Linked DNA regions of Oreochromis niloticus. The protein of the gene in region 4 interacts with the protein of the main gene of each other region in a biochemical or structural test. Links are inferred from orthologs where the notes say so. Each region holds a gene or a part of one and is shown on either strand. Other genes may lie near its edges.

Region 1 (7,264 bases), on a different chromosome or scaffold from region 4:
AAATGTGACAGAACACAGAAGCAGCCAGATGACGTTTACTGGGATACAGTGCTGCTCAGATTCAGCCAAATTCAGTAAAGTTGATGGATAGTGCTTCACAGTAACAATCTCCAATGACCCAAGACATACTAAGAAAACTGGAGTTATTCATGTGGAATATTCTGTAATAACCAATTCATTCACCTGATGTCAACCCAATCAAGCTGTACTTCACTTGCTGTAGACAAAACTAAAGGCAGAAAGCCCTATGAACAAACAGGAACTCAATACAGCTGCAGCAAAGGCCATGACAGAGGAGGAAACTCCTTGTTTGGTGATGGTTCCAGATTTCAGGTGGTTTCTCCCTGCAAAGGATTCTCAAAGTATCAAACATGAAACCCATCTCTGGGATTATGTTCAATTTTCCACTTACATTTGAGCCAGAGAAAATGTGTCAGGCTTCTGTCACATTGTAAGGAAAGACTAGTCACCCATTGCTTTTGGGAGCCATGCATGCTCATACAATACCCTGCCTCTACCACATTTTACGTTGACAACACAGCTCTATGAAAGTTGAATTATTAAATTTGGTCAAATATTAAGGGACTCAACAGTATATTGGTGCTGAAATTAAAAATGTTTGACCTGATTTTCAAATAAAGTTTTTTAACTATCGTTTTCAATTCTCTTAGCACCATATGCAGCACGTGAGACACATGGTCGTGATGTGGAGTCAAGCAGTGCGCTCACATTAAGTTTCCAACTAATTCAGGAAATCGGCTGCAGGATAATTAACAAAGACTGACCCCATCCCATGTCTTTCCAAGATTTTTAAGCAGATTAGCAGAAAAAAAAAACAAAAACAAATTATTTCGCCAAATTTCTTCATAAAAACTAAAAAGTGACAAAATATATTCCCGCTACAAATTCTCACAGTCTGCTCTGATGCTTTCAAATGCCCCGTTTTGTCCAGCCAGGCTGCCATTTTGCTTTACAAATGACTAAAGTGATCTCATGCTTATTTAAATTGTACTTCTTCATTGCAAGTGTTTTCCAAGCAGAAAAAAGACGAAGAAAAAAATTTCAATATGCAAAAACGGGCTGCATATCTGTCCTATACTTTCTATCAAGGTACAAAGACTCTCTGATAACTGTATGCTTGGTAGAGAAATATAGGAGTTCACATTGTTAAAAGCCACTGCTGCAAACTCAGCAGAGTCATTATATCAGAGCTGTATATGTTTGCTGCTAATAAAGAGCTGCTCCACTGTAGAGCACTAGTGCCGAATAAGGAACACTTACTTGCTGTGACCATGTGACAGGAAGTACAAGGCAAAACAGAATGACATTCAAGATCAATACAATATGCTTGACTGTTCAAAAGAAGGATTGAATTCCAAGTCACTGACTTACTATAATTAGGTTCTTCCTTTAGAAGCTATAACCCAAGCTAACCTCTACAAACACAACTTGTGCTAAGGTAATAACATATGTCCGTAACCATGGTGTTAACTGGAGTCCAAATACTAGCCAGGAGACCCAAAGGCACCCATTCCCCATTTGCAAGACCTCCCAAAAGCAAAGCAAAGCTGTGCTGCAGATAGATGCTTCATGCTTTTCTGGCCTGATATTCCACCAACAGAGGAATCTATGTGCAAAGCAACTCAATAGTGCTCTGAGGGGGGGAAAAAATAGCCTGGTCTAGACTCAGTTCAGACTGCAATGCAGAGCTACGAGACAGCCTGCATTCACGTGGATGAGATGAAAACGAGGACCCAGCATTAATGAGCTCTGACATGCAACCTTGACTCCCAACGTCAACACCAGGTGGACGGAGAGGTGGGATGGCGCTGTGGCCGAGCCTGCCTCCATGCAACACACACACACCTCAACAAGACTAGCAGTTTAAATCAACGCCTGCGCCACATCACCACCTCACAGAGGTGCTCATCTACCTTTCCAACTGCATCAGTTTGCGCATGAAGCCACAGAAGTTGACATTTTTTTCCCCCCTCTCTCCCCCCAGCAGGTCACAAGGTGGAGATGTGAAAGCTGTTTGCGCCAGTATTTGTGCAGACAACAGCCGATTAATAAAATATTCAAATTAAACGCCTGGGATTATTATATAAGACTTATGTCACTGAGAAGTGATGCGTAATGCGCAGCCATCAGAGCATCCCCAAGCCAGCTGATGGGCTAAAAAAAAATCAAAAAAAAAAAAACCCCAAAATCAAATGGCCCATTCCGGTTACCTGAACGCAAAACTAAACCCTGCTATACATAGCTGAGGAGACCTCCTGTGAATTATTAGAAAACACCCAATGAAGGACAGGCTGTACGAAGCCTTCGGGGGCCGCCGGAGTCCCACTGGTCGTGCCCTTGATTATCAACACCGCTTGGAAGGACCACCACAGCACCAAATCCGGCCCATGCCCCCGGCTACAACGGTGACTATCACTCGACCCCGATCTAGCTTCCATTTCTCTTCCCCGGCATTGATATTTAACAAACTTGGCAATAAAAAGCAGGTCCAAAACTTTGATCAGTGAGAATAAACGGAACCAGCACTACCTGAGCTGCGCAGCTCTTCCATAAATAACCCGGGAAAAAGGAGAGGCTAGACTGGCTTCCAAGTTGGGGTCCAGGAGAAACGTGGTTCAGGGTGTTCCGTTCCGCTCCCTCCCCTGCCGCAAACAGCCATTGGATTAGCGGCAGATCGAGGGGAGGAGAGCAGACACAGACTGCGCCATTGTTAAAATACCAACAAAAATCATCGCAATTTACTCGCATAAAACAGATTAAAATAGAAGCAAATGTTTCTCAAGATAGGCTAATGCAGTGTGCCACTGACAAGCACAGTCCCCAACACCTAAAAAAAAAAGGGAAAAAAAACGTGTTTCCCCCCTTCCACAACCCCTGTTCTTGTCCAGATTATCTGCTCTATAGGCGCACACATGTCCGTGCCAGCGAAACAGACCCGGGTTTCGAATAAAAAACCCGATTTCTGCGATACCTGTGACGATGGGGGTTTTAATTGGAAAGTTACCCTACGCGGAGTCCACCCTGGCGCAATCACTGGCAAAATATACTCGGCAACCGCAAGGGGCGCCCTACTCTCATATATCACATGAACTGGCTTCATTTGTGTCATGCGGTGGTAAACAACAAGACCCAGAGAAATTCCCTTACCGTGTTTTAAGTGAGCATCCTGTGAGTTGCCTAAACTGTAACTAGGTATGAACCCATTACTATAACAACCGGAGCAATTCTGTCCCCACCCCCCACCACACACACACCTCCCTCCTCCCCAGCGGAAAACAGCACTGCCTGCCGTCCGCCATTAGCCAACTGAACAATACTGAAGACTAGAGGCGGCAGTAGCTACAGCACGCAGAGACGGAGAGGACCAAATCTGTTCAAATTAACTGTTTATTCATCCCTTAATGAGTCTTCACGCCCCAGTGTGAGTACCGAGAAACTCCCTGGGCATCCGGCTAACCCCCCCGCACAAGTTCCCGAAACTTTGGCCAATTAGGCGTAAAAGTAGAATACAAAAAACGGCTGTGAAATTCGCTTACCGGAGTAGAGCTCAAAACGGTGTAGCGCCACTTTTGTGCCTTGACATTAATCCGCGGAAGCGCGTGCGCACAAGTTTATATCCAAGATCATCTACTGAGCAGAGCACTCACTACGCGTCATCGGCACGTTCACTCACGTACAAAAACAGGATTTCTGAGAACTCATTTATGGTTTGTGTCTACCTGCAACATATCTATTCACTGTTCTCGGTGAGAGGGGATTCAGAGGAGTGGTTTTATTAAGTCAGTAATTGTTACTCTGTGGACTCATGATAAATGTGAGGGAGGGTATACAGCCAAATGTTGGCTATTATAATGCTGTTGTTTTTTGTTTGTTTTTTCATCTTTACTAAAGAATGTCCTTCCACCATAGTTAATTGTGATGTAGCAATAGGCTGTTTGGGGCATCCTTCAATTTTGAACAGAATATGTAAGCTGTTATGAAATGTAAACCTCAGGATGTTAACATACTTGAGGAAAGCAGTTTAAAACGGCCAAACGATTTTTTGTTTGGCACATTTTCAACACTGAAAATGGGCATAAACTGAAACTACAAGTAAACAATTGCTGGTAAAACCTCAAATAAGAGTATAAATTCCATAATCACCCCTTAGTTTTTGCCCCGCTGTTAACCTTCACAGCTAGCCGTTTATGTAATTATAAATCTTATATTTAATCGGCCTGAGTCTGTAATTTTCACTATTAACAGTTATTACGTATTAAGTTTTATAGTGATGTTAGTCTCCGATATCTAAAACACAGTTGAGCAGAAATTAACGGCTGAAATAAAAATGATACACCGCGAGCTCAAACTTCCTAAAAAAACCCCAAAACAACTACTTCCTCTTATTTTCATTGTAACCGGAAGTAAATACGGAGTGAGAGCTCTTTTAGGATTCACCCTCTTTTCTTTTCCTCCTGCGCAGGCGCAGGAGGTCCAATCAGTGGCTGCATTGGAAGCAATTAAAAATCCATTAAGATGCTCGCACCTTATCCTCGAAGGATATCATGTATCCCAGGTCAAGTGTGGCCAGTTCTGCTAGAAATGCACCTTAGTTATTCTTGATTTTTTTTTTTTTCGGGGGTCCCCTTTCTCAAAGCTTAAACAAGCCGCATTGAAGTACACAGCTCGGATCCAATCAGGAGCAAGGATCCGGGTTGAGAGAGTTCATGTTCTCAGCTGTGTCGGCTCAACATGGGTTTCCTCTCATAATTTCACCCAGAGACTCACCAGAAACCAAACGGCGGCGGGAAATTAATGACGCCCACCAGAGAGTGTTAGAAAAATGCCGCACACACCTTTACAAAGCAAAATTAAGCCCAAATCAAATGACACTACTTTAAGTAACTACTGATTATAGTAGGCAGATGTGCAAATTATTACATGTAAAGGTGGGTAATCTATAGTTTAGTAGTAATTTTGTTATTACTTTTTAAAAAAAAATCGGGGTGGCTCAAAGGTGGAATGAGCCGGTGATCACGTTTGTTAAATATGGCGGATCAGGTGCGTTCAAATGTCACACTGAAACGTGCAGATCAGATTCACTAAAGGGTCGGCTGCCCAAAGAGATCAAAGAGAAAAATTACAAAAGGACCGCCACCTCCTTACCCTCCTTACGCGCAGGCTATCTCTGAACTCACGAGATGAGGGGTAGAAATGGATGGAAGATACACGGATTTATTTCTAAGTCAGTTTGATGAGGCTGAGTGTCTGGTTGCCAGATCCTCTGTCTGTGCGCCGCTGCACAAAATGTCGGAGATTTCAGTTTCTCACAGGCGCAAATCACACTGAAATGATCTCTTTTTAAATACGATCCTCGATAAAGATCGAAGATGATGTGCCACACAGGCTTTGTGAACTCACAGTGTTTATGTAATCAGCCTCTCTGTAACTCACGCGGTTTTAATAAACAATTGTGCGTTTTTTTGTTGTTGTTTTTTTTTGCCCTGAGTTACACTGACCAACCAGCAGTTTATTACCACTAACACACAGAGGAAATGACGCTGACAACTTTGTTAGTGGTGTGATTGGAAACCATCGGTTTGGAAGTTAAACTTTGTTGTACAGTGTGAATACATGCTGCATTTTAGCTGTAGGATTTTATGTCTCTACTGCTCCACTACTTATGAACACATTTCGTAAAAACTGCATTAATTAACAACAACTGGTAGCAAACTCCCTCCTTAAAACATCTTTATTTTAAAAAGTGCAAATTTAAAAAAAAGCTCCATGTCTTTTTCCAGGGCTCTTGGCTTGAAATCTCTTTCATAAGCGTGCAGTGTTGTTGGTCCTTCCTTCTCATATGGATTCACTCAAATAGCTTCCCAGAGAAGTAAAATCCATCATGCTGCTGTGATACATGCTGCTGGTGGTTTGGCATGGTCTTGCTTAAAGATGCAAGACACTGTTTGAAACAGATGTTGGATATTTTGCTTTAAAGCATGTTCATATGATAGTGATGATCATGGGTGTACAAGTTATATGTGCAGTAATAAACCTCCTTGATTAGTGATCTTGGGTCCAGCCTGTGGTATTAGTGGATTTTTGTTTAAATGTTATTTTTTCCCCCCAGTTTGCACTGTGGGTTGGGGATGAACTGTGGTCAATGATGATCCTTTTCACAAGTGTAGCTGAGCCCCTGCTGTGATTTCTGCAACAGAATTAAGTCTGTTTTTAAACTGCTGCTCGAAAGCCTGCCTAGTTTTCCAAGAATTCTCTGACTGAGCAGTGAACCCCTCGCCATCATGACCTCTGAAACACTCAGCTTGACTAGTATGCTCTGTTTATACATGCCATCACCATCGATAACAGCGTATGTCCCCCCCTCGGCCAACGCGGATGCAGCCTGTGACTCTCTCCACTCTGTGGTCAGCAGACTGCAAACACAATCTCCGAGAGCCCTTCTCATAATATCAGGGGACTTCAATCATGCCTCACTGGACTCCACACTGCCCACCTTCACCCAGTATGTGACCTGCCCAACCAGAGACAATAAAACACTGGACTTACTGTATGCCAATGCTGAAGAGGCATACAGTTCATCACCTCTCCCTCCCCTAGGCAGATCTGATCACAACCTGGTGCACCTTGTCCCTGTGTATGAGCCCTTAGTGCGCAGGGAGCCACCAGCCACCCGCACAGTGCAGAGATGGTCGGAGGAGAGCGAGGAGGCTCTTAAGGATTGTTTTGAGTCGACTGTGTGGGAGGTGATCTGTGACGACCACGGTGAGGACATCGACAGCCTTACTACATGCATTACTGACTATATTAATTTCTGTGTGGATAACACCGTACCTACCAGGACTGTACGGTGTTTCTCCAACAACAAACCCTGGATTACTTCAGAAATTAAAGCTGTCCTCAAGCAGAAGAGGAGGGCCTTCAAATCCAGAGACAAAGAGGAGTTGAAAAGGGTGCAGAGAGAGCTTAGGGGACTGATAAGGAATGGGAAGGACAGCTACAGGCAGAAGATGGAGAACCAGCTTCAGCAAAACAATGTTGGTGAAGTCTGGAGAGGCCTCAGAACCATCTCAGGCCACAAACATCAGAACTCTCTGCCTGGGAGGGATGTGAGGTGGGCAAATGAACTGAATCATTTCTTCAACAGATTTGATTCAGCCATGAGGCAGTCTCCAACATCGGCTGCAGACTCACCCACCCCCACTGCTGCTGTTCCACCTCTGACACCTCAGACACTTCACACCTC
Region 2 (7,317 bases), on a different chromosome or scaffold from region 4:
CCAGACTTCTGCTTGGCTGCCAAGAGAGCTCAGTCTAGTTCAATCATTCTTAAACTATTTTAGAGCTGCTCAAAGATGTAAATTTACACAGCTTTCCAACAAACTTAAACATTTAAATTACTGATTTAACAACAGCCTACACATAGACACAATATATGCATTAGATCAAATCCAATGCACTGAGTTATTACCTTTGTTGTGGCAATGCTGTTGACAAAGCTGACTTGCTGGAAACCTTTCTCGCTCATGGTGAGGCAGACCTCCCAGCGCTCGTTGACAGTCTCATGGATGACAGTAAGAGGACCACCCAGTTCATCCACCTTGTCTTTCACATACATGTCCACATAGCTACGGAAACCTGTAACCTTAAGTGTGAAGTTCATACAGTTTATATCAGTTTAAATGCATTTTATCCTGAACAAATTAGGATGGAACATGTAAGATTTGTCTTGCTAACATCAAATATTTCATTAAATGAAGTTACTAGAAATATTTTTAGGTCAGGTAAGTGACTACTTTTGATAAGTACACAAAAAGCTTTGGATTTTAGGTTCAACTTTGTGAATTAAGTCTTCAGTCAACATTTGAAACACGCATAATATATTGAAAAGCTTAATGAAATTAGTTTCCAAAACATTAAGAGTTAACACTTAAAGATCACAGTAACTTACTGGTAGCTTCTTGCTATTAAAGAACACCCGGACACCCTTAGTGGCTCCAGCAATATCATAGGCCCTCCTGGTCATCAGAGCCACTGTGTCTTTGTCCAAGATGCTCATCTTAAACTTGGCCAGATCTGGTCTGAAGGTGATGCAAGTGTATTCCTCTCCATCAAACGGTTTGATGCTAGCCTCCCCTGCTCTGCCCATATTGTCATACCAAGTCTATGGGAAACATGGGCATAACAGAAAATGACATTCTCCCTGATCAAGACATAAAAATTAAAGTGGGAAATGAGATTGACCTTCCTTCATACCTGCTTGAAGCACTTCTTCGACTGTTTACAAGCAGTCTCGACAGTGAACTTTGTACTGAAGATGTTGCAAAGCTTGGCACCGTATCCATTTCGTCCACCTGAAGAACATTTATATAACATTTATAGAGTTAGGAACAGACTGAACATTAAATTTGTTTTTTTTTTTCCTAATAAAACGCTAAAATTTCACCATTAATTGTGTTGGACATAATGATGTAGAAAAGAGTCTTTGTAATTATACAGAATATCTTCTCATTAAGAATGACAGAAAACAATCAGTATTATCTAAAGCACTCAAATTCATCAATCTTACCAGTGACTTTCTTCTCGTCATCATCATAGTTACTTGAAGTGAGAAGCTGTCCAAAGATGAGAGCAGGTACATAAACTTTCTCCACTTTGTGCTCCACCACAGGAATACCCTTCCCATTATTCCATACACTGATGGTGTTGTTTTCACTAAAAGGAACAAAAACATACACAAGCGCTTGATTTGTCAGCTGGTAGCTGTAGTAGAGTTACTTTGTATTTTAATATCTTAAACTTGGTAGTGCACCGTTATACACAACTCACGGATCAATGTTGACCTTGATGCAGGACATGCTCTTATCTCTCTGCTTGTTATCAGCTGCATTTACTACGGAAAGAGAAAGTAAAATCTATTTTTACTACATTTTACTGGAGCAAAAACATTGTTTAATAAAGGTTTGTCATGGACATCTATAATTGCAAGAGCTTTTTACTTACCAAGGATCTCATCAAAAATCTTGTAGAGCCCAGGCACAAATGTCACATCACGGCAGTTCAGTCCAGCATCCTCATCAAACACCCACATTTGCTAATGAAAGAAGTTAAATAATCACAAGGAGCTTGCATGCGTTCATTTAATAAGAACCATAACTGTGCAGTCAAAACTCCCCCCCCAAAAAACCTGCTTTAAATCTACACATGACTGTTAAAGACATTTTAAAACTTCTTACCTGAGTGACAGGCTCTACAGAGCCTATGTAGGAGTCCGGTCTGAGCAAAATGTGCTCCAGCTGCGTCTTCTTCTGATAGATCCTCTCCACTGACAGCCGCTTAGGATCCTTCTTCAGCTTTTCCACCGGCTTGTTCTCAAAAAAGGCCTGATGAAAACGACACAAGGTTATCTTTTAAGATTCATAATTCAACACTCTTTATTGTCATTATGGATAACGAAAGCAATTCTCCCTCACATGGTGCAAAAAAAATAAATAAATGAAAAGCTTTAAATAATATCAATATACTGATATCTTTTATAGGCCTTGCACCGTAACGAAGATGGGACTTATCTTTGTACTGCAGGAAACCTTAATATAATGATCAACATCATCTATAATGCTACTTGCTGACAGTTTTGCATGCCTGCGGTTATATACGTCTTCAGTTTTACTGCACAAAAAACACAATGCAAATGTACGGGGGGGAGAAAACACCCCCCTGGAAGTTGCTTGGCTCTGATTACATTTGACGCTCAAGGACACAGGGTTTAGCTCAGTATTTAAGGACAGTTTTTATTTCAAACACAATAAATAATGCGAGGTGAATGAATGCAGGGGTAACACCATTTCAACTGGCTTAGCAGCATTAGCTATAGTTAATGCTTACAAGCTGCTGTGCCAAGAGTTAGGACTAGTTGTTAAGTTACTAAAAGGAACACTCTGCAAGTAGTGCATTATTACGTCTAAACAGCGGGCACTGTTACATTAAGCAGCTCACGACGTTAGCCAAGTGCCTTTAACTGTTTCTTAGAAGTTTAACTTACAGTTGTAGCAGGTTAGCACGTAAGCCTAATAACACGTTAGCAGCAAATATGAAAGCGACAGTAACGTTACCTTCAACGGTTCAGCCATTCTTCTTGTATTTAATGTTAAAGCCCTTCGTTTGAAATATAGTACACTCTAGGTTTGCAACAAGCTAAATAAATCCCAGCTACCCCCAATAATAACGGCTGCCTGCACTAAAACGTTCCTTCGCTGCCTGAGCTGAGGTCCCAGTTTGAATATTCGAAATTTTGTGGAAACATCTCCCGCCAGCTATATTGACCAATCATACTACTGAGCGCGTGACGAATTCCTCCAATGAGAGAAGCAAATCCGTTCTTTTTCAATTAAATAACCAATCGTAGACGGTAAAAGTGGCATGAGCCCACCCATCTCTTGTATCACAGCCAATCAGCTTTCAAAAAGAAGTAACCTACGTGCTGGGAATTCAAGTACAGACAGGAAAAGAGTTAGGAGGGAAACAAAATAGCCTGTTTCCTTGTTTTGGATAAAAAATATCCTGTCAGCTCTATTTTTATAGTGTCCAATGAAGAAATGTGACCTATATTTTATTATTACTATTTTGTTTTCAATGTTCTTGGATTTTTGTTCTACAAATACAAACGAAGCTTTTTCTCTCTGATGTTTTCACGTTTCTCGGTTTTTAAGGCTGACTGAGCAGTTCCAAACGTGAATCTTTACTTTTTATCAACTGTAATACAATGATAATAATAATAGTAACTATCATAACAATGCGCTTTCCAGAAACACACAATAAAGGAACAAACTAAGACGAAGTTATAAAGAAATTACAAATCAACTAAAATACCTCATCCTTTATGGCAAAACATTATTTAAAAAAATATACTAAAATAAATTTTTCAGTAGAGATGAAGACACTGATGAGGCAAGACAGATTTACTTAGGTAGGTCATTACACAACGAAGGACCCCTAATAGCATCAGTGATTTGAGGCTCCAAGAGAATAATGATGTAAGATGTAATCATATCAGATTGGACATAGAGTAAATACTATCAGTATGTCTCCTTCTGGGTCTGATTATATATTTTTATTCTGTTGCTGCATAATCCAATCCAATCAGAGGTCATATCTGAGGAGGGGAGCTTGAACATCTATGCTTATTTTATCTCATATACAGCATATTTCCCAGAACTCATGTATTCATCTAGATAACAGACAAAGTTTTACAGGTAAGAGATTCCTCTCACATAGGAAAAAAACATTCATACCAATTCAACTAAAAGAAAGATTTTCAAATGCATTACAGATGTGCACTGATTGTGGACTGGCTTGCTCATGCAACAAAAGCTCACTAATACTGAGATCCAGGGTCAGCAGGCTCAGCCCCCCACTGACGCTGGCAAAGGGCCCATAGCCTGATTGATGTCACTTTCCTTCCTCCAACTCCCCAACTGCAGAGAAAAAGAGGACATGATGTGAAGAAAAAGGGAAAAAAGGAAATGGATTTTGTTGTCTGGTGTTATGATTTTTGACACTTTTTGGTCACTTGGGATATAAAGCATGAGTGGCCTTTTAAATGTACAAAACTTGCCTTGCAAGAAAAGTGTTCTGTTTTTCTGGGACCATGGTGCTCACTTCTTTTTTCTTTTTACACTAGAGTGTACTGGATCTTTCACTTGATTTATCACCACCGCTGCCACTTTCTGTCCTTTGTCTCTCTTTTACTTGCATAAAATACAGGAACTGCTTAAAATCTGTCTAGTGCTCAATATCATATTTCTTCTTTTATATTGTTCCTTTCTGTCCTGGACTCTTCCTATGTAGCTGCACGATACCCCAACACTGTGTTTTTTAGTCATTTATCAGATAGACCTTCACTTTTTCCCAATCCTCTATTCTACTGGGATAAAAAGATTCATATGTGATGCTAAGAAAGCATTACTTCAGCAGCACAGTTTTATTCAGCTCTAAGCAACCATCTCTCTTCATATTTCTTGTCTTGTGGCTATCAGTCAATGGAAATGCAGTAACCTGATTTATCCAACCGTTCTACCATTCTTATCTGTCTTCCTCTGCTATGTTGCCCACTCATCTGACCTTAGCATGGTAATAATAGGGCGGAGGAGCTTGAGTAGAGCTGCCTCGGTCCGGTCGATGTAGTGGATTGCAAGTACACTAATACACCCACAGCTGCACACATGAATGAAGGAGCGAGCACACAGAACTGTTTATCTGATATTTTTTTGCTTGGTATTTTCAGCCAAAAAGATTGAGTTATCTCCTTTAAGAAATCTAAAAGAATGTGCCTGCTGCCCTCACACTTTCAATGCACACAGGGTTGGACATGGTAGCTTTAAAAAAGACTGTTTTTAAACAAGAAAACAGACAGTTTATGTGGTACCTTTACAATAAGGGTGCAGAATTTTGATCAGATCAACATATCACATTTGTTAAATGCATACAAAACAACATGCAAAAATAAACATTTGTGGCCTTCTAGGGATTTTTGTGTCTTTTGGACACTCAAACATTATTTATTACATTCCACATTATATATCTGGACTATTTCATCTATCTATCTATCTATCTATCTATCTATCTATCTATCTATCTATCTATCTATCTATCTATCTATCTATCTATCTATCTATCTATCTATCTATCTATCTATCTATCTATCTAATATCAAGAATATTTTCTTTAATGATTAATAGAATACATAAACCTTTGATTTTATATATTTCTGTTGCACTTTTTACTTTTAATGAGGACAAATAATTTTTTAACACTGTGTAAGTCTCACACAGACTTTCTCTTATCTAGCAGAAGTGGGCAGTTTGAAACAGGAATGCTAAGTACTTAGCATCCAAAAATAGTCACCCTGCAAAGTAGATGGACACTCTCAGTAGCTACCACCTGCCTTCCTGTTTATTTATTGATGGCTCTGTGTTTTCTGAAGCTTGACTGCTGGGGACGGTGGGAGAAAACGAAACTTGGAGTGTCACAGACGTGTTGATAGCTGTCTGAAGGAGATGCTTGATGTGGCTTGATGAACAGTGTCTTACAAGGAAAGGGCTCCTTTACGGATATTAGTGTGACAGGTAAAGAGCTGCTCCAACTGAGCACTTGACAAGCTTGTCAGAGCTTGTCCAGGAGAGCGTTTGGGGATTTGTGAAAGATGTGACAGCCAAGAGTGGAAAAAAAAGATAATTTTCTTTATTTTGGCTTTGCATCCATCATAGACCGCAAAAGATAAGCCAAAGATATTGGAGTTAATAATGACCCTGCACTGGAATCATTTTGATTGGTAGTGACTAGAATGGACAGGTTAGAAATGAGTAAATCAGAGGAACAGCTCAGGTCGAACAGACTAGAGAGAAAATAAGAGCGGCAGAGCTGAGATGGTTTGAACGTGTGCAGAGGAGGGATAGTCGATAAACTGGACAAAGGATGCCGAATATGGAGCTGCAAACCAGGAGGAAAAGAGGAAGACCACAGAGAAGATTCATTGCCTCTCTGAGCCTGGTTCTGCCGGAGATTTCTTCCTGTTAAAAGGGATTTTTCCTTCCTACTTTTACCAAGTGCTTGCTCATAGGGAGTCATGATTGTTGGGGTTTTCTCTGTATTATTGAATGAAAGTTGCTTGAGTTGACTTGTTGAGTTGGGTTGTTGTGATTTGGCACTATATAAAGAAAACTGAATCATGATGTGATTTGATACTGTGAACAATTAAAAAGTCTTGTTTATTTTATTAGAAATGGGGTTCATCAAGCATTGGGTATATGTACCAATTTTGTTGTCCACCACTGAACATAAAACTATCTGCTGCACTATAAAACTGTAATAACAAGTGTCTTAAAATTACTTACAGTATAATCATTTCTTATTTTCTGTAAAAACTTGACTTGCTACCCTAAGTATTTGCGGGTGAATATAATTACATCATAATTTCAGATTTTGGAAATTATGCCCTTAGCAGGCCCTTATATAAAGTGCTACCAAATGCTCTTTACGAGGAGTAAGTGTCAGGCAGTGGTTTCTGTTGGATTTTACTTATATTTGATTAAATTCCCCTCACAGTGTGTGTAATTATTTCCTGGCAAAGACTTTTCCCTGCGAGTAGCAGGATAAGAGAGAGCTCATAAAAAAATGATGACAATGAACTAAAATGAAAACAAAATTACAGCTTTAGGTCCACTGTGAATATTTTGGCTCAGTCAATTTCCAGGTGTGTGACAGATAAAACGACCGCCAGTGAATGGCTTAAGGTAGAAAACAAAATCTCAGTAGCTCAGGCCGTGCTGGATGTGAGGAAGAAGGAGCTGTTACTCAATATTTAAACCTTCAACACTTTTTATTAGAGACAACAGTGTTTAGGAAGGAAAATAACATCTTAGAGCAAACGTCTAACATTCACAGCATTAATATACAGATTTTTTTTCTCCTCTGGTTGCTTTCTGGGTCATGTTTTGACCAGCACATTTCCAGCTGTGTCCTTGGAGGTCCACAACATGACCTTTAAGGTGAACACCCCTCCCTGGCTGTCATTGTGAATACAGTGAGGGACTAAGAAT
Region 3 (6,880 bases), on a different chromosome or scaffold from region 4:
TGTGAGAGAGAGAGAGTTACCAGCACAGAGTCATTGTTGGTAGTCAGGTCGACCACAGCAGCTTCTGCTCCACTCTCACAGGTGAGATCCACGACCACCTCCTCCTCACCTGAACACACACAACCACAAACTGTCGAGTGTCAAGATTCAACTATTCATCATTCTCAACGTTACCCGACATCAGTGACGTAACGCGGCTCCATCTTTACAATCAAAGTGTTTCATCTCCAAGTCTGGTGATTTTATCGATAACCAATAATCAGGTAAACAGATCGAGATAAACAGGCATGAACACTGTCAAACATCTGGATTCTCACAGCTGGTGGTTCTTTATACCCAAAGTGGCTCCATTTGGCGGTCCCCAGCATGAACGACTTTAAGGAGCAGAGAGGTCCCCCACACAGCTGTGACTGTCCCATTTTTGGTCACCTGTGTGTCAGACGTGTGGTCAAGTGTTAATCACACCTCTGATGAATTTTTAACCGTCAGGTGGATTTTGTTTCCTCTGGGCTGCAGGTGTGTCAGTGATCAGGACACACCAGGAAACCCACTGACTGTATTTTCAGGTGTGGGAGGTCACCTTCAGCAAACAGCTCAGGTATGTTTATTTCTCTTAGCAGTGAGGACCTGCTACTGACATCACTTCCGGTGAGGTCTGAACATGTTTTTCTCTTCAGTTTTACTTCAAAAAGAATGGTAAATGGCCTGTATTTGTATAGCGCTTTTCTAGTCCCTAAGGACCCCAAAGCGCTTTACACAACCAGTCATCCACCCATTCACACACTGATGATGGCAAGCTACATTGTAGCCACAGCCACCCTGGGGCACACTGACAGAGGCGAGGCTGCTGGACACTGGCGCCACCGGGCCCTCTGACCAGAAGCAGCTCTCTGATTGGCCGAGAGGTTGAGAGTGTGTCTAGATGAGTCAGGTCTGGTCTGAAAACACCTGTAGATGCAGGCCTATCAATGACTGTTCGATCAGTTGGAAACTGAGTGTACTGATCGGGACTGACCGTCCACCACGTCAATGGTCTCTGTTGGGGGGGTGGGATCACTGTCGGCGTTCGCCGTCCTCCTGGTACTCGCAGCTCTCCCGCTCTTGGCGTTGTGTCTAGAAACCGGGGGACTTTGTGTGCTCCGCCTCTTCCTCTGAACCTGAAAACAGAACAGCAGGAGGTGGAGCTTAACACACTTGACCAGGTAAACACCAGCTGACAGTGTGACAGCTGAACAGGTTAAACCACAGAAGAAGAAGAAGACTTACAGAGCTGCTCATCTCTGACTTAATGATTCACCTTCACGGCACAGGTGAGGATGGAGACCAGAGAAACAGCTCAGGTACCTGCACCTGTAACAGCTGGAGTGTTATCGATTGTCGGTTTTAGACATGAATCAGTCTGTTTTGATCCACCTGTGACAATACCCTCCAGCCAATCAGTAACAACCCTTGGTAATTCTTTTAATGAATCCATGCTGTGAGATTTAAAAAAATAAAACTAAATAAACATGGAAGAACAGAGTCCTACAGGTTTCATACACACCTCAGCCAGGTGTGTATGAATCCATCTGATCCTTGTTCATAGGGGAACAGGGATCTTGCTTCCTTTAGCATAGGAGACGCTGGAGCATCCTTTATGAAAGGGGAGGGAAAGAAAACATCTGACCACGCATGAAAACAAACATGACCAAAGTGGATCATGTAAATGTTCCTTCTGACTGCATTTTCCATTTCCTCCTTAACCCGCTGATAGATTTATAGTTTTTAACAGCAGCGATTAAACTCACAGCTGAGCATCACACTGCTGGAATAAAAACTACTTCCTGTTGAGGTAGTGTTGCACAAAGAACGCTGTACGAGCTAAAATTATGATCTATATGAACAAAGTGTGCTCAAGGTTCTGTATGATCAGTGGTTATTAGTGATGTCCTTTGTTATGGTACTGTAGGGTTTGTGTTTACTTCAGGTCAGCTGGGATCAGTGGTGATGGAGGAAATTTAATGCAGTCGCAGAATTCCTCAAACAAGAAGAGGAAAGGTGCTGCGACAGCCGCATCTGGATATTATATGCAATGGGACAGATTTACTCTGTGAGGTAGCAGAAGCAGCTGAATTAGTGACTCAAGGAGGGAGCGTGAAGGATGCTAACCAAAATAACCCAGTGCAAACTCAGGTTTTACTCATTTTTTTTCTCTAAAAACAGCGATGCAATTTGGATAAAAGAGATCTGGGTGAAAGAAAATCAATCTGTAGTCCATGTTCTGCAGTGTCACGCTGTTAAAAGAAACGAGTGTGAGGCCGTTCCTTTCCTCAGCGTACGTCTCCTAACCACCTTTCCTTTACCTCAATGATGCTTCCACCGAGGGCAAGTAAAAGAGGTTAGGAAAAGGAAACAGGAGGGACCTTTGAAACTCGCACCTTTTCTCCGTACCAGAAGCTGCTTCGTCTCTGTTCAGAAAGTCAAGAATTTCTAATCTGAGCCTGATACATAAAACCAGGACCAGCTAAACTCGTGGAGCTGCAGGGGGATCACACTAAGAGGTCACCAGGAGCCGAAAGAAACGCTTCTGGTGACCCAGAGTGACCCTGCTGTCACTGATAATGATGATGATGATGATGGAGTTTTACCTTTACAAGAATTAGAAACACGGCCTGGCTCTTCAGGATTTAAACAGTAGATTCAGACACACCGATACTTTAAACGTGACATGTGTACGGTTGAGCTTAAACTTTACTTACTGTTAGCAATAAACTGTTAGCTTCCGCTGTCACCGTCACTGCTCCTCTTAGCAGTTCACTTTTAGCCGTTAGCACCTCTCTCTTCGTCACTGTGGCTCCTACCGTTAGCGTGAAGCTCGCGTGCGTGTCAGCGACAGATTTCCGGCCTCAAACATTTTAGTAGAGTAAAAAAATAATTAAGTCGAATAAACACACTGTGGAGGCTTACGTTAGCTACTGTCCGTCTCACAGCCGCTTCTTTTGTACCGGAAGTGTTCATAAACGCCGGCTCATTGGCGCCCCCTGCTGCCTCACTGCGTGCATCGCAGCGTCCACTGATTGAAGGGAAGACCTTTTTGTGTCTTTATGGTTTTGTTTACAGTTTATTTTATGTACTCAGACTGAACTACCTGACATGTACTTCGAAGTACTCCAGTAAAAGTACAGTTACTGTGTGGTTACTGCAGGCAAAAAAGGCTATAAAAACACAGGACATTCAAATGAAATTGTTTAAATAACTCTGAGTCAGTCGCTGAAATCAAACTATATTCACGTCAAAGTTACATTGGATTGGATTAGTAACACCTGAAAGGAGAACCTGACCTGGGACATTGAACTTGTTTTATTTTAAACATGACTGTATTTATTTTGTTTGTAGTTACTGATGAGGATACTAAAACTCAGAGACACATGGAACCTTTCCACTGTGTCAAGCCTGACCCGCTCAGTCTACCTGCACCATTGAAACTCAGATGTAGGAAAATCCAGACCCTCCACAAAGAGCCTGGAGATGAACCTTCACATTTCAGATGATTCATGTCTCCAAACAGGAAGTGATGATGAGCTCACATCATCACCACATACCCGCTCCACCTTTGTGGCCTCTTTGGATTCAGTGCAGAAATTACCTCATTTCACCGCTTTTAATGTCATCTGATAAAACAGGAGGTGACAGAAAAGAAGCATTTGTGGAGTTTGTTGCTCTGAGTGGACTCAGTAACACTGTGATGGAAACAGCGTCCATGAGACGGATCATAATCCCATCCACAAACTAAACTCACTTCACCCCACTGATGTCGGCATGTTTCAGCAGGTCACATAAATGAGAACAGGTGAAACTGTCCTCATTAGAAATATCTGAGCGTTATGCTATGAATTCTGGGATGTCATGGCTGCTTCTCTGGTCATAAATGAGCCACACTGAAAACATGCTGTGAATAAAAGACTCGATCTGCATGCACAAACAGGCAGGAAACAGGAAACAGACCTGAACATTTTATTATTTTCACAATAAAAGCTTCACATAAACAGCCATCTACTTCCTGTCTACACGCTAATTAGCACAAAGCTGCCAGCAGTGCTTTCTGGTATTGTAGTGCTGAAGGTGAGCCGGTGCAGAGGGAGTGCTCAGTTCATGGCGAGGAACATCCAGCCGGGCCCTTCAGAATCTGTTTTAAGGCCCGCCCTTCATGAACGCCATCAGGAGAACGCCTAGCAAGCCAGAGCACCTGGACACAGAACAGGTAATGAGAGAGAGACACACCTGAATACAGCACAGCTGAGACCCTCTCACAAAACATACTCCCTGAAGCACTTAAAGAAATGTTTGTCTGTAAATCAAACTCTGGCCCCGCCTCTGCCTCACCTGTCTCGGTGTCACACCCGTCTCATCAGGATGACTGGACCGAATTTTTGTTCCTCTTAAATTGACTAAATTCAGTCTTTGGGGTCACAGGTGAGTCTGTACCTGTCAGGCGTTTCTCCATGCATCAGTACGAGGAAAATCTAACAGATAGGTGAAGCTGATAATCTGATCGCACCTGCCGAGTTCACACAAACTTCCTGTGAGTCTCGTCACTTTGCGCAGTTAACTTGATGTGCATTCACCTGCAGCTCTAAGTGGAGGTGAAGGTCATGTGATCCACCTGGTTCATCTTCATGTGGTTGTCGAGGATCTGAAACATTTCCTGGATGTTCGGGACGTAACCAGACTGAAGCTTCGACCACAGGGGCACATCTGAGGGGAGGACAGAAAGCGTTACACCAGGAAATGAGGTCACAGGAATGTCCCTACCTGATCTCCACAAGGAAATCTGGGTGTGTTTGTACAGTTCAAAAATGACCCCTCACCTCCTGTTTAGGAGAAGGTAACTCAGACTCGTATGGTGAAACTACAACATCCAGAGGCGGGCCGCACCTCTTACCTCCCCTCGTGTTCTGAGCTCGTCGTCATCCACAGTTTTAAAGAGGCGGGCGGCAACGATTCATCGAGTAACTCCAATTATAACTTTCTTATTTAAAAAAAAATCCTCGATTCTTCATTTAACGGACGGCACTTTAATAACAACAACAACATACTTCTGATCTGGTGTCTCTCGTATCACGTCACTGTACACACACTTAATAACAAAATAAATACATCAATCTGCACACCTTCATCATTTTGATTCTTGAGTTTATTCGAATATTTTTAATGGGCGGGAATTGCACAGCAATAAGCATTTCGCCGTATGTCACACAGTGCATGATATGTGACCAATAAACTTTGACTACAGACTACAACAGAAGTGTATCTATGAGCAGTGTGTGAATAATCAACTGTGTTAAACCGAAAACACTGATAACGGCAGCAGCGATGATGACGCTGGCACAGTTTAACATGGAGGCGGAGTCTGTTTATACAACGTGAAGAGTAAAGAGGCAGAGGCGTTACCGACACGGTGAGCTCAGGTGAGAAGAAAGAAAGCACAGCCTCCGAAACAGCAGCGCTGTTCCTGAAGTCACCATTGAAACCTGGAAACAGCTGATCAATGGAGAACAGCAAACTTTGTAGCTGCTCCACCCATCGCCGTTTATTTTACAGAAAAATCTGCAGTAAAGCTGCAGAAGTAAGGCTACATCAAAATATGCAGATGAACTGTTAACTGAGTCTGATATAATGTTTAATTTATAGAGCTCGCTGAAGGCTGACGGCGGCCGGCCCACTCTCCGTCCCAGTGATCCCTACAGGGCTGAGTCTAAAGGGGGGCATAGAGTGTCCTACACCAGTGGTCCCCAACCTTTTTTGCGTCACGGACCGGTTTATGCCCAACAATATTTTCACGGACCGACCTTTAAGGTGTCGCGGATAAATACAACAAAATAAAACTAGTACAGGTACTGAAAAAAAGAAGATTTATTCATAACACACGTAAAAACGATAACAAAATAACGCTGAAAACCGATAAAAACCCTGAAAACCACACATTTCACACCTGAGCCTCAACTCTCGCTGCCCGGTACCAAACGACTCACGAACCGGTACCGGTCCAAGGCCCGGGGGTTGGGGAGCGCTGTCAAACACCATATTTACCTCCAGGCTTTGTAACATTGTTTTTCAGATTTCAAGTGGAATAAAACTATATTGAACAACACGCAATGTGCCTCCTCGTATCGGTCTGAGCTCACCGCTTTTGGACAGACACCGTAAAACCTGATCGCACACTCGATTATTCTGGTTTACAGGCCTTCATCACTCTCTGAGCTAATACTTCAGCTCATTCATGAACCTTCTGTTCCTGTGTGGAATCTTAATTTGCTTAAGATTCCACACAGGAACAGATCTCTCCTTTCCCAATAAAAGTCCTTTACATAAATATAAAAGGTGTTTGCTGTTTTATTATATTTACTGTACAAACTACAACTTGATGTTTAATTACTGCTTACAGTGTGAAAATATCTTGGTTTACTATATTATTATTTATACACACACCCCAGTTTTTCCAGTTATTTATCAAAATTCATCTGTTTCAAGTCCAGTGAATAGGTTGAAATGGTACAAAGGTAAGTGGTAAACTGCCATAGGTTAATAAAAAAAAAAAAAAAAAGGTTACCCAAGATGAAAATTAATGTACACATCAGAATTATACAAAAAGGCCTTTTTCCAGGGAGCACAACATGAGTTAACAATGTAAAGCTGCAGGAATGGAGGTTGATCAGCCTTGAAAGTTGGTGCTACTAATTCCTACAGGTGTTCCAACTTGTCTGGATTACTTCCCCCTCTGTCTGCATGAAGCAGTGTTGGAGCACACGGTGGTACCATACCCTCATGGGCAACAGCTGAACAGTACTGTACTGCAGAAAGCAGTGTGTTGATACAAACATGGCGAGAATAACAGTGGAAG
Region 4 (8,014 bases):
AAGGGTAGGGCGAGTGAAACAGAGATCTGAGTATGTTGAACTTGCTTTGGAGTACAAGGTCTTGGTTGCTGTGTCTTTATATGGTTGGCAGTCTTAGTAGAGCAGCTGTGTGAAACACCAATTTATGTGTGGAGACATGGGCGGCTTTAATTTTTGTGTCCACAGCAGTTATGTGAATAACTATACTTAATGTATCAGAGTATTGTTTCTTACCTGATTTATCACCCAGTGTTTGACATAATGTTTTCCTTTAAACATCATAGTAAAAAAAGATTATGTTCTGCACTGACATAAAGGGGTACTGCAGATGCAACAAGGAGTTAGATCTGTTCATAATGGCTCTGTGCTTTTGAGTAAACCTCTATGCTTTTTCTGTATACAACAGTAAATATTATAATCTCTTTCTTGTTTTAGTTGTAGTACAGTTGTAATGCAGAATTATTGCTTCTTTGAGTTCATGAAAGTAAATGGTATATGCTGGAAACATATCAGCTGAAATGCAATCTCGGGACTGCAAAAACAAACAAAAAACCTAAACCAAACCAAAACAAACAAGGATCATGTTGGCCTGACCTATATTAGCTATGTGGTAATCCATGACTTTACTGGAATGCCCCAAACAGCTGACTGGTTTGTGGATTTTGAGTACTGTAACATAATGCATTGAGTTCACATGTAACAACTAATATGAGATGTAAGAGCCAAAGTAGCAAGACTATGAGGGCCAAGGTTTATTCAGCCGTAGTTCACAATAACGAAAAGTGATTCCAAAAGTGCACAAGAACAAGAGCATGTAGACTTACCTGAGAAGGTGTGTCTGTTTCATTGATGGGCTGACCGTCAAATCGAAATCGTATTTGCCTCATTGACAGCCCCTGAGTGGAAAAACAAAATGTTTACTTTTAAACTTCACAAGGTATTTTTGTGACCTCGGGTTTAAAACACCGACTGTGAATTGCAATGACTCCTGTTTCAGGAAAACCATCTTTCCCTACTGACTGCTTAACCAAAAAACCCCTTCAAAATTTGATGGAAATAAAAAGGGTGGGACAAAAGGAAATTATGTGGTTAAACTTGCTCCAAGACCATTAGAACCGTAACAGACTGTCTAAAATTAAATACAATATATTACAAAGTTACATACATGAGAAATAGCTCTAACGTATACAAATAACACAATTTATAAACATCCAGAATATTGTAAAGATTAAATATATATGATTGACATTTTAGTTTTAACTGCAAAACTTTGTTATTTTCACTATAGCAGATGTGCAAAATGGTGTAACTGTCTCAGTGTGTGCTGCGCATTAGATGGGGAGGACTGATGTTGCACACCTAATATGTCTACAGTAGAACTGAGGTGTTTTTAAGACTCTTAACTTCCAGATAAATTTAAGGTTGTGTGGATTCCGCCAAACTTTTCCGGGTACCATGTGAGTAATGACAAAATGAAAACAAAGATTTGCTTCTTTAGGGTCAAACCAAAAACTCTGGATATAGTTAAAGCAAAAAAAGCCTTGTTACCATAGTTAACAGATGTTTGCATTACCCTTCTATTTTAGGCCATCTGATATACAGAAACATATTCTAAGCATAAGTAAATTAAGCAAATTAAATTTTTTTGGAAGGTTTACCTTGTTGGATGTCCAAATATACCCCCCTCCCCCCCCACCCCATTTCTGATTTGGCAAGAACCATGTATTTTTAAATGTCAATTTCGTGGTCTCTTGCTTATGAATGATCAATTTCAGATGACCAGCAATACACTTAAAGATACTTCTAAAAAAAGTTACAATTGTGTCCCAGTCTCACCTGCCGTTCACAATAAGCTTTCATCAGTTTGCTGAGAGGAGTGTGCCTTTTGATCTTAAACTGCACCACTGAGCCATCCTGTCCTGCCACCTTCAGGTTGATGTGCTCGTTGTTCTCCGTCTTTACTCCCTCCTAAGACAGAAAACAAGTTCATAGAAAGTCACACTATTTAGAAAAAAGGGGGAGGTGTGACGATTTACAAGAAACTGCGCCCGCCATTACAAATTCCGAGTCATAGGTGTTTTGCATATCTCAGCGATACCTCATTGTCTTCAAACAAAAGTTAAGTTCACAATATGTGCGTGGATTTACGTTTTTTGCTTGTTTGTTTTATCCTCCGCGACAACTGCCTGCCTGATGTGCGTAGAGCTGAAGACTAGCGTGGGTACCGAGAGCAATGAGGACTGGATTTACAACTTCAACGTTAGCATTAGCTGTAGGCAACTCAAGCAACAATGGCCTTCAATACAACAAGATGCACTGCGGCCTAGCAAAGATTCAAATTATTCCACTTGTGCTATTAACAAAACCCTTATCTCTTTACCCAGGCTTATGGCTGGCGAGTCAGTACAACGGAACCCTTTATTTACAATCTAAGATTCGTTTGCACATTACGACTTTTGCTCAAAAGGTTCCTTTTTGTACCGTTTATGTTGCTCTGTTCAGTCTCAGCGTTAACTCACTTTTCTTGAACTGGTGCTTAATCTAGTCGGGTATGGGATAACTAGATTATTTCCCATTACATGTGCATTAGTCATACAGATGGCAAAATTTTAAAGGTGCCGATTAAAAATTATTTTACAGAAAATATTGATATTTTCTTTATTTCACCAATGGATCGGGTCGGTTAGCCACGTTAGCTTATTATGCTAACTTAACCCGCTAGCTTCCTAACAAACACCGTAAAGTTAGCGCATGTTTGAAGCGGTTTTTGGAGTTATACGATTCGAAGTAATTGTACGAACTGCTTTCCATCAGTTTACCGTGTACATTCAACTTTGTATGGGCTCTGATGCATTTAAAGTCCAATCCTCACCTTGGGCTTTCCATCTGCCATGGCTGCTGCTGCTGCTGAGGACTGTCTGCCTGCGTCTCGCCTGTTCTGCTACTGCTGCGACTGCGCAGTCTAGCGCGCCACTTTGCGTCGGCTGCAGTGAGCGAAGAGCCCGCGTTTGACTTAACAGCAATATAGTTCATGGCTCCAGTATCGTCAAGTTAATAACAATTATTAAGCGAAGTTTAGATACATATAATCTGGGAGTAGAGGCACTGTATCTGTAGTTCGTACTTACCATCTGGCATTGCAAAATGAATAAATGCACATCAAGGACGTTGTTTGGTTATATTAATGCACTTCACATACAGCAAACAACAACATGAGGTACATAAAATCCATTTCAGGGAGCATATGACTATTATTTTTATCAGGTCCTGAGATAGGTTAACGATTGGCAGAAACATTGATTTTCATGCATTCTTATTTTTTCTACAGTGTATATTCTAGGTCCCAATGAAAAAAAATGCAACTTCCCACAAACGGCTGTAAAAATATTATCTAGTATTATGTTGAGTTGAACTGATTAATTTGTTGACCTGTAAACACCATCTGTAATGAGCATCCCTATATAAGGCTGCTGTTCCTCTGTGTCCATATACACCACTGAGTGTTTCCCAGGGCCACAACTTAGAATCAGCAGCGGTGCATAGCTGGTGGCATGGTGTGCAGGTCCCAGGTTCAAACTCGTAGACCGTTGCGGTGTTAGTGGGAGATAAACATTTGGGGAATACAAAAATATGGAGATGGACAAGTCAATCATGTCAGTGCTTCAACCATATCCAAAATGATTGCAATTGCAGGAGTAGTCATTCTGGATATACAATATTCAAAATGCAATACATTTACTCTTATTGAATTAAAAGGCCACACCCTGCATTATAAACTAAGAGAAAAGACTTGAAGGGGGATCTCTCTCTCTCTCTCTCTCACATACGATTATCCAACAACATTTATTTCAGTAGCAAAGCACCCTTGCAGAAAAAAGAAGAGTGACATTTTGCCACTTGCTTTGAATGGGAAAAAGCAGTACCATCTGGTGGGGAAATATAAAAATAAAAAACTGAGGCGAGTACTCCAAAATCAAACCTTAACATAAAGGAATGAATTAGTTAATGTCAAAATAAATGTAGGATCAAAAGTTGTATTTTCAATTACTTTGAATGGGGGAAAATGTGGCCCGTTAGAGTACCTTAGACATTTTAAGTTAATTTAAGGAACTGAGATAACAATTCTAAAATGAAAATACATTCAGTTGCATTTACACCGATTTTGAACACTAAAAAAAACAACAACAACAACAACAAAAAACCCAAAACAAAAACAAAGTCATGTTAAAATGTTAAAAGGTTTAACATAAATAAAATCCATCCCAGGCTTTATTCATCCATGCACAGAAGTAGTTGTTCAAAAAATGCAATGACAAGTTAATTTAACAATATGACAAATAAATAAACTTATAAGAAATATGTAGAGAACCTCCAGCACATGTAACTCCAAAAAGATAAAGACAAAGAGGTCACAATTCTGTATGAACACATGGTAAGTTACCCAAGGGTTAGGCCTTGACCTATGGCTGCCGTTTCTTCCAACATGAATTAAATTTCCTCGTTAAGCCCATCTCTAGTTTGCTAAATAATGTAACGTTTATAACAAGTCTGTATGACTATTTGGTAACATTACAGACTCTGAAAATCACACTAACCTTTTCATCTATTAATACAATACTCAAAGTATCTATTAATAAGGGGAATGCAGGATACAGCTGACAGCTGCATCACCACACATTTCGTTAGGAGTTGTGATATCTTCCTCACTAACCAAAATAAATACATTCATGACAATAAATACTGCAATGCTAAAAAATATTAGTGCTGAATATAACAGGCTGAGCTGTGATTTCCTGTAAAACCCAGAAGAAAGGTATTCAGTTGTAGTTTTGAGCCACACTGGAAGCGACCGATTTCCAGTCAGCCAATATTGGAGTGATTTTTGAGCAAAAGAGGGGCTCTTGTTTGCTTTGGCCTGACGTCTCAACTCTAAAAATCTTACACAGTCATCAAGAAATCATGTGAAACTCAAATTGCGATCACATGTTCATACAACCACAGTTTCACAATCATTTTAACCTCTAATGCAAGACTGCCTTGTTTCCAAAAGTGCAACTATTCTCCAATAAAACAGAGACACAAATAAGAACATTAAAATTATATCAAAGGGGTACTAAAAAAAATGAAAGCACAACAATATTTAAAATTCACCAAACAACTACCATCAGCATTCAAACAGTTCATTTTGTTAGTTACTGCATCACACTGACTACCTCTGGTATCGTAATAAAATTAGCGCTGTATTTGTGCTACATCAGCAGACCATCTTCAACTCTCTGAAATCCAACAAAGTTTATCATATACTCAAACTCTGCCTGAAAGCTTTAATATTTTGCTTTCTTTTGACCACAGCAGAGCAAATCGATCAAGTAGTCTTACAGCAATCAGCCTACAGAGCTATAGAGCTCCCCATTTATCAACAGGTGGAAAATCATTCACCTCCCCCACTTCTGTGAATGGCTGCTCTCCCAGGGTGAATATCAATTTATATCTCATCCGGACCTTTTCCTGCAAGACATAAAAGCAGAATGTTTCAGTTAAGGACCGCACTGAGCCATTAACCATTATATTCTCATATTGATTGACAAGGAAGACAGTAAAAAGATGTTTCACCGTTCTTTACTGAATGAACAGCTCAACTGAGTAAGCGCTCTGTCAATAAATAAATGCTTAAATGCACAAACACAAGAAAAGCTCAAGGCTGAGCTTTACCTTGAGAGGATTGGCAAGCAGCATGATCTGAGTGATGGCAGCAGGGGGAAGTATTGGGTTAAAAGAGGCCAGCTCTGTACCCGAGGGTGGCTGCAGTTTTACTTTCATCGTCTGGAAAATTGGCAGAAGAGACATCCACATACATCAAACAGAAGCTGCATCCCACTTAAATTCGATTTTTTCTCAAAAATCTAATCTCATGATGCAGGAACAGTGTTACGTATGCACGTCATGTTTTACCCTGGGCACAGCAGCCTGCAGAACAATGTTCTTGACCGGCTGAGTGGCTGTGTTAAGCATGGACGCCACCATCACCAGCACATCCGGCCTGCCTGGTGGAGAGTCGGTGGCGAAATGCAGCAGAACACGAACACCATTTTTATCATAAGCTGTCACTGGGCACACTTTACCTAAAAGTGTAGGTAGCGCAAAGAAAAAGAATAAACTGAGATTACTTCATAAACTGATAAGGCAGTACACACGACCCTCAACACAGTCATTTGAGTCAGCTAGAAGAAGTTTCTGCTTTCATGCACATCGTTCCTTTCGTGCGTGCTGCAATGCTTAATTTCAGACCACAATAAGAAGATAAAATCCATCTTATTTCCAGTATTAATATGTTTTTCACTGTCAATTTGTTATTCAATTTTTCACTGTCACCAGTAATGATCAGTAATGATGAAATGTTCATTTTCCCATCTAACAATTATGTTTCGACAAAAAACACCTGGAGGTCAGTGAACCATCTGCAGTACACAGGCACGAATGCTTTCCCAAAATCTCTCAGGTGATTATTCTCTCTACAGAATTTGCTATCAAAGTAGACAGATGGTCAAACAGCAGCCAACATTTTAAATTACTGGTTGGAAAAACAAAAATGTCCTAATAAAAACAAAATACATGTTCACATTTTGAGAACATAAAGCTCTTTTTGAACAGCTTTTACACTGGTCCTTTTCAGTGAAAAATCTACTTTAGAAATATATATTTCCAATAGGTTTTAAGGACTAAAAATAGTGTTAAGTGCTTAATAGAGTAAACACCATTTTTCCATCACTGAAAACCTCCAGAAAGACATCAGATGATCTGATTTGACCTCAAATTTATCTTGTCAGGGACCCTGAGCATACACTCCAACAGGCTACAAAAACCTTCACTTAGAGATAAACATATAGTCAGTAAAGCCCACTTGGTGAACTCACTTGGCTTGATGGTATCAAGAGGGACAAATACATTGGCCAGGGACACCTCTTGTCCTCTACCTGGACTCGACTGGCTCAGGGGTAGAACAGGGGACAGAGAGCGCAACAGAGGGCTGTCATCTGCCTGACTCTTGATAGACAGAGGAGCAGACCATGCATGTATTCCTTCTGATATAATTGGGGTGGATGTGGCTTCAAGACTGAAAGACAAAGCGCAAAGAAAATGTTTGGAAAAAACACACATTTTTTGTAATTTTGCCTCTGTACACCACCACAGTGGATTTTAACATTCAACAATCAAAATGTGATTTAAGTGCAGACTGATAGATTGGATTTGGTGAGTTTAACAGAAGTACTACAATTTATACAAAGCCCCCTATTTTCAGAGACTCAACTGTAATTGGACAAGTGACTAACAAGTAGTTTCCTGGCCAGATTAAGTCTGTCTCCTCATTTTTTCAATGCAAATTAAACACAAAGATCTGAAGCGCTGAACTATGTATAAAAATGAGTGAAAATCCTAAACAGTTTCCGCCATGCTTTTATTAAATCTCTTAAATTAAAAGCTGAAAGTTGGCACTTCACTGATTTAAAATACAATACGACAGTGTGCAGAAACTGTGTCAGTGTCTAAGTATTATACTACTTATGGACCCATATGTATAAAACAACATGTAGTAAATGTTTGGCACAGACGAGATCATAAATATTTATCCTCTACTTGGGAAATTCTTTTGTTACATCAGTTGAAGTAATGACTATCATTATTTGGCACATGTGTACAGCATGTGGTATGAAAGACTTTCTCTGCCTTATTGAACTGAACTAGCCTGTTAGAGAACAAAAAACACACAACACTGTTCCTATAACACTTCCGCTTGAAACACTTCTGGAAATGCTGGGGTAAATAATCAATAGTGGAATCCAAAAGCATTTGACTTCACAGTAACACAAACACATTTGAACCATTAGCAGGTAATCAGTTAGCACAGCTACATGAAAATAATCCATCTCAATCTTTGTCTTATCTCAGTTGACGCAAAATACAAAGTACTCTAATGACTTAAAATTTAATTTGTATCATATGGAAAAACGATAAAAAAAAAAAAAAGTGTCTGTCA

The links.
Region 1: the proteins of small ubiquitin-related modifier 2 (region 4) and zmym2 form a complex in vitro, tested with the Homo sapiens proteins (4 studies listed by BioGRID). The link is inferred for Oreochromis niloticus from reciprocal best matches to the Homo sapiens genes SUMO2 and ZMYM2.
Region 2: the proteins of small ubiquitin-related modifier 2 (region 4) and top2a form a complex in vitro, tested with the Homo sapiens proteins (2 studies listed by BioGRID). The link is inferred for Oreochromis niloticus from reciprocal best matches to the Homo sapiens genes SUMO2 and TOP2A.
Region 3: the proteins of small ubiquitin-related modifier 2 (region 4) and rnf4 form a complex in vitro, tested with the Homo sapiens proteins (15 studies listed by BioGRID, with this or other methods). The link is inferred for Oreochromis niloticus from reciprocal best matches to the Homo sapiens genes SUMO2 and RNF4.

The regions. Positions count from the first base shown.
Region 1 is NC_031987.2:27,445,716-27,452,979, reverse strand, and holds the start of zmym2 (zinc finger MYM-type protein 2), read right to left. Parts: upstream 3,024-7,264; 5' UTR 2,770-3,023; coding exon 2,551-2,769; intron 1-2,550. UniProt on the Homo sapiens protein: Involved in the negative regulation of transcription.
Region 2 is NC_031973.2:19,732,907-19,740,223, reverse strand, and holds the start of top2a (DNA topoisomerase 2-alpha), read right to left. Parts: upstream 3,022-7,317; 5' UTR 2,851-3,021; coding exon 2,833-2,850; intron 2,104-2,832; coding exon 1,957-2,103; intron 1,815-1,956; coding exon 1,724-1,814; intron 1,614-1,723; coding exon 1,550-1,613; intron 1,436-1,549; coding exon 1,290-1,435; intron 1,075-1,289; coding exon 977-1,074; intron 885-976; coding exon 672-884; intron 366-671; coding exon 192-365; intron 1-191. UniProt on the Homo sapiens protein: Key decatenating enzyme that alters DNA topology by binding to two double-stranded DNA molecules, generating a double-stranded break in one of the strands, passing the intact strand through the broken strand, and religating the broken strand.
Region 3 is NC_031966.2:36,323,724-36,330,603, forward strand, and holds the start of rnf4 (E3 ubiquitin-protein ligase RNF4), read right to left. Parts: upstream 3,019-6,880; 5' UTR 2,739-3,018; intron 1,633-2,738; exon of another isoform or gene 1,544-1,632; intron 1,360-1,543; 5' UTR 1,279-1,359; coding exon 1,267-1,278; intron 1,158-1,266; coding exon 1,016-1,157; intron 110-1,015; coding exon 21-109; intron 1-20. UniProt on the Homo sapiens protein: E3 ubiquitin-protein ligase which binds polysumoylated chains covalently attached to proteins and mediates 'Lys-6'-, 'Lys-11'-, 'Lys-48'- and 'Lys-63'-linked polyubiquitination of those substrates and their subsequent targeting to the proteasome for degradation.
Region 4 is NC_031971.2:26,017,966-26,025,979, forward strand, and holds the start of small ubiquitin-related modifier 2, read right to left. Parts: upstream 3,011-8,014; 5' UTR 2,873-3,010; coding exon 2,852-2,872; intron 1,948-2,851; coding exon 1,816-1,947; intron 876-1,815; coding exon 804-875; intron 1-803. Other genes in the region: ADP-ribosylation factor-binding protein GGA3a, read right to left, coding at 5,377-5,487, 5,692-5,802, 5,932-6,101, 6,894-7,093. UniProt on the Homo sapiens protein: Ubiquitin-like protein that can be covalently attached to proteins as a monomer or as a lysine-linked polymer.